Daphnia pulex: one gene and its partner. The protein of the gene in region 2 binds, or shares a complex with, the protein of the main gene of each other region. Links are inferred from orthologs where the notes say so. Each region holds a gene or a part of one and is shown on either strand. Other genes may lie near its edges.

What was found.
Region 1: gamma-tubulin complex component 2-like (region 2) and nucleoside diphosphate kinase 7-like share a complex: the UniProt entries of both Homo sapiens proteins name them as parts of the gamma-tubulin ring complex. The link is inferred for Daphnia pulex from reciprocal best matches to the Homo sapiens genes TUBGCP2 and NME7.

What each region holds. Positions count from the first base shown.
Region 1 is NC_060026.1:2,936,982-2,941,389, forward strand, and holds nucleoside diphosphate kinase 7-like, read left to right. Parts: upstream 1-1,409; 5' UTR 1,410-1,659; coding exon 1,660-1,731; intron 1,732-1,820; coding exon 1,821-1,934; intron 1,935-1,993; coding exon 1,994-2,160; intron 2,161-2,231; coding exon 2,232-2,393; intron 2,394-2,456; coding exon 2,457-2,664; intron 2,665-2,730; coding exon 2,731-2,824; intron 2,825-2,904; coding exon 2,905-3,038; intron 3,039-3,098; coding exon 3,099-3,194; intron 3,195-3,264; coding exon 3,265-3,372; intron 3,373-3,432; exon of another isoform or gene 3,433-3,476; coding exon 3,477-3,515; 3' UTR 3,516-3,844; downstream 3,845-4,408. Other genes in the region: uncharacterized protein LOC124205225, read left to right, coding at 22-24, 89-152, 217-309, 375-988; 5'-nucleotidase-like, read right to left, coding at 3,845-3,954, 4,023-4,166, 4,230-4,408. UniProt on the Homo sapiens protein: Possesses an intrinsic kinase activity. Displays 3'-5' exonuclease activity with a preference for single-stranded DNA. Does not seem to have nucleoside diphosphate kinase activity.
Region 2 is NC_060019.1:11,565,874-11,570,216, forward strand, and holds the start of gamma-tubulin complex component 2-like, read right to left. Parts: upstream 3,102-4,343; 5' UTR 2,956-3,101; coding exon 2,903-2,955; intron 2,818-2,902; coding exon 2,656-2,817; intron 2,586-2,655; coding exon 2,446-2,585; intron 2,384-2,445; coding exon 2,003-2,383; intron 1,919-2,002; coding exon 1,696-1,918; intron 1,634-1,695; coding exon 1,212-1,633; intron 1,152-1,211; coding exon 1,001-1,151; intron 877-1,000; coding exon 614-876; intron 546-613; coding exon 371-545; intron 310-370; coding exon 117-309; intron 54-116; coding exon 1-53. UniProt on the Homo sapiens protein: Component of the gamma-tubulin ring complex (gTuRC) which mediates microtubule nucleation.

The DNA of each region.
Region 1 (4,408 bases), on a different chromosome or scaffold from region 2:
TTCCCAAACATTTTCTCATAAATGGTATGTATTTCCTTTCCTGTAAAATCTTTAATGTCACACAGAAACTAAACCATTTTCATTTTAGATACAATCTAGCCGACAAGCAATGCAAAATGTTGATGGTTTTAAATGGAGAAATAACCTTAATGGTATTTTTACATATGTTTATTTTGTTTAACATCAAATAACGCTATTCTTAAATATGTATTGCAGTGGAAGCAAATGCTAGCAATGCATCAGTAAGGAAACGACCAAAAGTAGACAAACCACCTACTACGTCAAAGAGAAAAAAAGTTGACAGTACAGGTATTGATAATAGTTCTCTTTACATTTTATTTTGAAGAGCAATTGCTTTAATTTTAATCTTATAGCACCCTCCATGGAAGTTACCTCTACTATTCAAGAAACAATCGACATTCACCAGGCTGCTGAAGAAGGAATTGTTGATCCACTTCCTGATTCAATCAAAGAAAATCTTGCTGTTGTCATTGAAGATACGACAGTTGCATCGCCTTCTATGGAAGCTACCTCTACTATTCAAGAATCAATGGACATTCCCCAGGCTGCTGAAGAAGCTATTTTTGATCCACTTCCTGATGTAATGAACAAAAATGTTGCTGTTGTCATTGAAGATTCGACAGTTACATCACCTTCTATGGAAGCAAGCTCTACTAATTTCAAGTCTAATTTTGTGACATTTCAGTCACTAGTAACTTTATCAATGATACCAAAGAATTGGATATGGTCTTTTGATCAAATCAAACAAATGATTTATTGCATTTCGATGGATCAACTACCAAATGGAAATTATAATGTGAAAAGTGTACATTTTCAAAACAAACAAGAAGTAATGTATTATGTCAACAGAAAGAACATTCCATCAAGCACTACTGCTTTGTCAAACCATTTCACAACAGTTGAAAATATAACGCAATTGATAAAGGATTTCAACGATCGAAAAATTTGTTCATGCATTCCTCATTAAAGGTTCATAAATATTAACCTTTAATCTCGTCTTTCTGGTATATTGGACTCAGCTGGCGTGTTAAGATCGAAATATTGCAGAAAGAGAATAAAATTCAAAGTAACTAAGAATAAAACGTACCATGTATTTACACCACATTTTTTTTTTACACAACCAAACAATAAAATGTAAAAATGTGAGGACACTTAAAAAGATTGGACACTTTGAAGTTAGATAAAACTTAGAGGTTTGACAGTTGGATACTTCTCCTTTTTATTATTGTTTACTTCTTGTAGAAAAGTAAGCTGTGATTGGCCAATGAGTTTTTCATAGACCCTTCCTGATTGGCTGGCTTCACGTAGTAGCTGACACACTCACTAGAGGCGCTCATTCATTCTTCCAAATCGGCTTACGTTTACCCTGAAACCGGGATAGGGAAGCCAACACAGCCATGAACTGACCAGGTATCTATAGCTCTGCTATGGTTGCGTACTTGCTTTAACTACTTTCGAACACAAATGCGTTTTTTAAAATCCGGCAGCGTGGCCCTGTCAGACCCAGAAAACGTCTAAGCGGATTATTTGGACACGAGAAATTCGATAGAATTCGAATGATTCCTTAAACCAACCAGCAGTTTACGGTTTTATTTGTTTGACGTTTATTCGTGTTTTTAGATTCATTATTTGACCTTAATGTTTTACCCTTCTCGTACCAGTGTACTTGCTTTTGTCGCTCTCATTGCTGGCCTCTACCTCGCCCAACGTGTACGAACTTTTTTTATTACTTCTCTGTCACTTTGGCTGTGCTGTTGTGCTGCAAACTGATTGACATATTCATTTGATTTTCACTGTAGAACACAATGGAGGAAGAAAAATTCACCATCAGTGTAGAGTGGTATGATGACATATCTTCACTGGTGCGTCCATTTGTCTTGTTTTACTACCCCTCAGACAGGACAGTTGAAATGGTAAACACAATTGAAGTATACAAATAAAACTTTTAAATAATATTTCTTTTATTTAATAGTATGACAGCAAGCAAAAGAAAACATTTTTGAAGAGATCATTCTGTGAGACAGTGGCAGAAATCGATTTGTACATTGGGAACAAAATTTCAGTTTTTGGAAGAGAACTGAAGCTGATAGAATACCTCGACAATACAACCAAAACTGAATTGGCAAAGAAATCAGAAAGGTATGTAAAATGGTTATCTCAGTTCAGTGCAATTTTGTGATCAAGTGTAAATGAACTATAAATGTTTCCAGGACTTATGCCATGCTCAAACCTGAAGTCATTGAGCAGATGGGAAAGGTCCTATCCTTTATTGAAGGAAAGGGATTCAGATTCAACAAACTGATGCTGACCAAAATTGGTGCAAATAGAGCAGCGGAATTTTACAAGGAACACCAGGGTCGAGCATTTTATGAGTACGTGTGCAAATCACTTTTGTTAAATACGCTTTGATCATTTATCGTTTATTATCTACACAGAAAACTTGTAAATTACATTTCGTCCGGTCCTGTTCTCGCCATGGAACTGTTGGCCCCGTCAGCCATCAGGTATTGGCGAGTAAGTTTAGGACCAACCGATCCAGATGTGGCTCGCAGTGATGCACCCAACACACTTCGGGCCCTGTTTGGAAAAGATACTACATATAATGCTGCTCATGGATCGGATTCACCAGAAGCTGCTGCAAGGGTAAACTGTTGGTCAAAGAATCCATTGTGTGTTTCTTAATATTAAGGCATGTATTTCTCTTTCTAGGAGCTCAACTTAATATTCAATAATTTGAATAGCCATTACGAACCTTCCTACATCAAAACTTTGTGCCTTGTTAAGCCACACATTCTCCAAGAAGGTATACATTTTAAACTAGTGTTTTGCCATTCGCTATGGGAAACCAACGACTTTATCTACGTGTACCAATTATTTTTGCAGGGAAGTTGGGCGCACTCATCGCTGCCATTCAACAAAATAACTACAGAGTTTCTAGTCTGAAGCTTCACAGAATGAGTTTAACTGAAGCTGAGAAGTTCTTTGCTGCTTATAAAGGAGTTTGGGATGATTACCCGGTAATTCAATTGATCCTCTCTCCAATATTTTATCTTTAATCGAATTTATTTTCTTATCAGGCCCAAATCAAACATTTCACTTCAGGACCAGTCGTGGCATTGGCTGTAGATTCTGATGTCAATACATTCAGAGAATTTGTCGGTTCATTTGATCCGGTTAGTTTCATTTAAAAAATTTCTTAATTCTAAGTATTTTATTAACATCCGTTTTGTCTTTACTCTCTAGAATACTGCGCGGAAATTACATCCGTCGTCCTTGCGAGCCCGATTCGGACATGACATTACACATAATGCAATCCATTGTACCGACCTACCCGACGATGGTGTACGAGAGGTATGTAAATTTAACTTTTTTGTAATTGTGTAATTGTTATTGAATGTATAAATATTTTTATTTGATGATTTAAACAAATGTTTTTTTATTTCAAATTGATACAGGTTGAGTTCTTTTTCAAGGATGTTGGTGGGTTCCAGTAAAATAAAGGCAATATTGTGGACCATAATGCAATAACTGAACTCGTAAGCACCAAAACGGGAAAATTTCGGAATCGGGTAGAAGTAGGATAAACTAATGAAATTATGTGGGTGATGAACATCTAAGTGGGTATTGAACTCATCCTATAAAAAATTTGGGGGAAAAAATACAGCAATAATAATAACAAATATTAGTCTCTCTTTTTCCTGTAAAATCATTTAGGCTATTGGTGAGCATTGTGACTCAAAGCTTCAGTCAGGCAAAAAGAGTGCAGAAGATAGTGAAAGAAAAAACCCGCGACCGATTTGTTAGCCACACATTCTCACACAGCCTACCGAACCAACGATAAGAGGGATCCTCTTCTGTCTCGCAGTTTTGGCCATAAAAATTTGTAAGCGGCAAAAGCCATACCAGAGAAGAGCAGCGTCAAGAAGATAGTCACTGTTGGGTGAGATAGCAGTAATTAGTTAGGTTAATTAATAATAAGCAAAAATGGTTGTAGCACTCACAAAATACTGTTCCAGTGACGTTCGTATTCGGGCAAACCGTTGGGTTGTCAGTGTTTGAGATAAATTTCACTCTCCCTTCGTTTCCGTAAGTCAGTGGTGTTAATTTTTTTATGTACTCTCGGAGAAAAATTTCATCGCGAACGCCTGCCGAAATCAATTGAAAGTTTAGTTTATGATTACAAAAGATTACGAATGATGTCGACTGACCAGTGCTGTTTTTCAAAGCAAAATCTTCCATGGACGAAAATCTGCTGCCACCGTTGGCGATAAACGAGGGCATACCAATTCTGTAAACTTGGTTGTTTACAATTGGAGCCATCCCTCCTTGCGGGTTGTTCGTATCGCGGATGTAGATACTGGCCACACGCGAACCGCTGGGTTTTGAT
Region 2 (4,343 bases):
AACATAGACTCTTTCATGCACACGTTCAGAAGTTCCATGTGAGTTGATATAACCTGTTAATTTGAACTATCTATTTAGAAATTGTCTAATGAACGGAAATAAAAATTTGTGCATACTTGATCGACGTTGTCCACTTTTCGGATTTTCTCAACAAAAATTTGCCATGATGGCTCAAGAACTTCGACCGTGATGTAGTACAATAAATTTTGAATGAAATGGAGCATGCGATGACGCAAAGCAAATGCGTTGTTGTACCACTGGCTAGTCGGAAACGAATAATTGCGAACAATTTTGTGCGAAATCCAAACTCTAAAAATGTCATTAAATCAGTAGTTTCAACAAAATTAATTGCGCTGAAGGAAATCCTTACCGGCCCAAGAGATTTTCAACATATTTGGTCAAGAAAAGATGTCGGAAAATCATCTGGTAGCACGCCATAACTTTAGTCGTAAACACAAGTGAAACAGGCCATCGAACACGGTACATGAAAGAGAAAGCTTCCAATCCCGTCAACCGTACATGGTCGATTGAGTGGTTCCCATCCCCTAAATATTTTTAAAAAATGTATCTATTTTATTGAAATGTGGGAAGGTATCGAACTAGGATTATATACCGCGATTGTCGCGTTCTCCGTGAGTTTCGATCGAAAGAATCTTAACCATCTGAGTAGTTAGATCATAGGAAAGTAATTCAAGTCCCAGATCATCTTTGAAGGGATCAGCGTTGGCGGTCGAAGTGCGAAGTGCCAATTCAAGCAAAGATTCTAATCGGCTGGGCATTACATCATCAACGTTTTTCACCAATTCCGCTCCGCATAGCGAGAGGAAATGCAAGATAAAATCTCCCGCATTCAGGAAAAAGTAATGCTTCACGGACCTGCAAGACATAGTAACCATTAAGGCATTAAATGCATATTCTAATGCGTAAAAAACTAAAACAGTCAAGAGTAATCGGCTAAAATTGTCACATGCAATTCATTATGAGGTTAAACTGATATTACTTGAGCCGACCTAAAAGGTCGTAATCTTGCATGAGGACGTGCAACAACGTCTCAGACGCATAACTGTAAGCCTTTTCAATGGCTTCTTTGTAGCCTGATCCGTCAAGTGTATACACTAAGTCATCAATCCTTGGTGGTTTCACCTTCATTCCTATCAAAATTAAGGCATAAAGATGATTTGATATTGAATAAATTTAAGATTAGGACACACCACATTGCTTGATCACATTAAGGTATTTTCCGGTACGAAGAATCTGGTCAGTAAGTGGGAGAAGGAATGAGGGTACTCGATCACGTCGTAGAGTGTAACGCTTCTCCCAGTAGTCGTCACTGTAAGCCGTTGGGGAGAGCTTGTCCATGGATACTACTTGATGATCTTCAACCATGAACTCCAAATATGGATCTTCTACTGAACCTTGATAAATCCACTTTTGCAAAATCTCCCAATATGGCTGGGCTGCAGAACGGGTAAGTGAGAGCAAAAGTTTCTGTTGCTTCTCATTTCCCATCGCTTCCATGGTCTGTTGGTGAAGAACGGATAATACTTGGCCGCCTTGAGCTTTAGCTCTCATTAATGACAGCGTGACATGATGCAGTTGATGCAATATCGTGACATTGGGCTGAAGAAGATACCTTAAAAGATATAAAAAAAAGATTGATTTAAAGATACCTTAGATATAAAACCTTTAGATTACCAAGCTTTCTGCAAACTCAATTCGTTCTTAAGCAATAAACTTTCCAATTGACAGACAAAGATTCGATATTCATGAACCAAGTTGCCAATAGCCGCTGCCAAGGCGTCATTTACCATTCCGAAATCGAATCCAGAACGACTCTCGTAGAAGCGCTCAATTATAGAATAGGAAGCTAAAATTGGGAAGAATCTTCGAATCATTTCTTTTAGTGAATCGTCGACACCTGTAAAAAAAAAAAATACAAAATACAAAATTTATTTTTATTCTGACAATTTTCAATAAATAATTATTGAATAAAAATAATTACTATCATCAATTTCGAATTTTCTTTCGTCGGCGTTGGCAGTTAAGGGTAGTGCACGTATGTAATCGCCATCAAACCCACTGAGAACATAAAGGAGCTCTTCTAAAAGTATTCTTTCTTGATCTCCTACAGGCACATTTCCAAGAGGAGCAACTTGAAGTAGATGAGAATCTGATAGCCCAGCAACAGGAAAGTCCCAAGAAAGAAAGGGTCTAGTGTGAAACCACTTTGGATTCTTTTGTATAATTTCACTAGATGTGACCCTCTTCTCTGTTAGTTCAGTAACTTTATGACCTAATGAACCCTCACTTGCAGTCTGTAACCTGCTCTTCAATTCCTTCAATTTTACACCTCCAACCACAATTGGAGTGGATGTTGATGGGCCTAGAAAAAAACTTCTACTGTAATTAAATTCATGAACAAACATATAGAAAAAATTTAAATACCAGATCCTTGATTGCTATCTGTGCTAGTGCAATAGGTTTTGACAGATTCTCTTGGCAAACCAGCCCTGACTGAGCGGGTCATTGTCTTAGACTCTTTCATCTTTGAAAGTATCAGGACAAAAGAATCCAATTCAGCGTAACTTGAAGTTTCAATATTAATATGACCATTAGCAGGATTGTAAACTTTGTGAAAAATGGTGTAAATCCTACTTTTTGTCCCGTAGTTCTTCATACTTGTTCACTATCTCAGATGGATTTGAGCTCAAAGCTGCTAAAGTTTGCACAGTCTCTCTAGCATTTGTTATTTGGACCTGTGATGGAGAAGTCACCAAGTTTTTCACAAATTTTTCAGGTGCAACCAAGTCAGTGAGCCTGTAGGAAGGACGAATTAAGTATTCCAGTGTAAGATCGGGCAACGGCCAATCCTAGATTATGTATTTCAAAGTAGTTAACTTACCCTAGCGAATCAATCAATTCGCTAACAGCGTGATGAATTTTGAATTCACTCATGACAACAAGAACAAGTAGTAATCTTCAACGTTACAATTTTGTTTCCTCGTCAAGTCGTCAGTCACAACATGTCAAGTCAAACCTATTCCTGTTGTGCTGTTGACATTTCATGAACTAACATTTGGCGGTAATGTCAAATTCAAAAGAAAGCAGACACCTGGCGGATGAAACTGATACAATTATCGCTGCGTTAGCAAGGCCGGCAAGGCGTTAGAAGGGCTATTATTTTATTACTTATTAAAATTAGTGATTTTTTATGAAAAAAAAATATAAAATGTTAATTCTTTGTTAAACATCAACATTTTAGGTAATTCCTGCTTCCTAAGTCATTAGTCTATTTTATTTTAATAAAAAGAGTGCGCTTATAGGTCTAATATTAATTCCTTTATTTAAAACCCTGTAGGCCTGTATAATTCAAGTAACAAAAAATATGTAAGAAATAAATTGCGCGGCTTTTATGTAAATGGCATAAATGATGCACTATACACTATTATAGTGTGCATACAATACTTCCCCACATTACAATAATGTAGAGCGATGAACGGAATAAGAGAGGTAAAATGGTATTTGCCTTCAAAACGAAAACGACAATGTAAAGAAAAGTGACAAATGGTTTATTCTTTGACACACTATAGAGACTAGACTCCTCTTGAAATTTATGTGAAAGCATAACATTGGACCAATAGGCTGAAGAGGCACTTTCTACAATGGGGACGGGGCCAATAGCGTCAGGTGTATTATCCCCTATAGAAGAAAAGTCATCAATTTTATCTTTCACCAGCGCATATATACGTTAGTCTTCTGTCATACTCTCTAACCTCAGTTTTGGTTCACTTGTAGCCTATTATTTAGTTGGGGTGGACGAGAAATGCATTTGTATGGTATTACCGTCTTCTATTAGTAGCTAGGGCTGCTAGTACTTTAATTGTTCTTATTCTTATTTCCGAATGGAATTACGTTATTATTTTCGGTTTATTATAGCCTATTACATAAAGAATTCCCCGACCTCTAACTTTTAACGTATATGATGTCTAATAAACTTGGCTTGTAAACATTAGACTAATTATAGGCTATAATTACTAGTTAGGAGCATAATATTATTGACAAAAAATAATAAAATTGGCTAAAAAATATATAAAATAAAAAAGAAATAAAAGAGAAGGAATAAAAAAACAAAAAATTAAAAAGTAAAAACAGCGAATAGTCATTACTCATAGCTCACCAGCAGGGGGGTTTCGATACGTTTGTTCCGAGAAAAAAGGTTGAAACGAATCGTCGCATTTTGCTCGAGTCTCCCTTCCTCGCCATTCCTTATCCATTTCCGTATCCATTTCATTCTTGCTTGCAGCAGGTATATACTGAAAATTTCTAATTTATTTAAAGCAAAT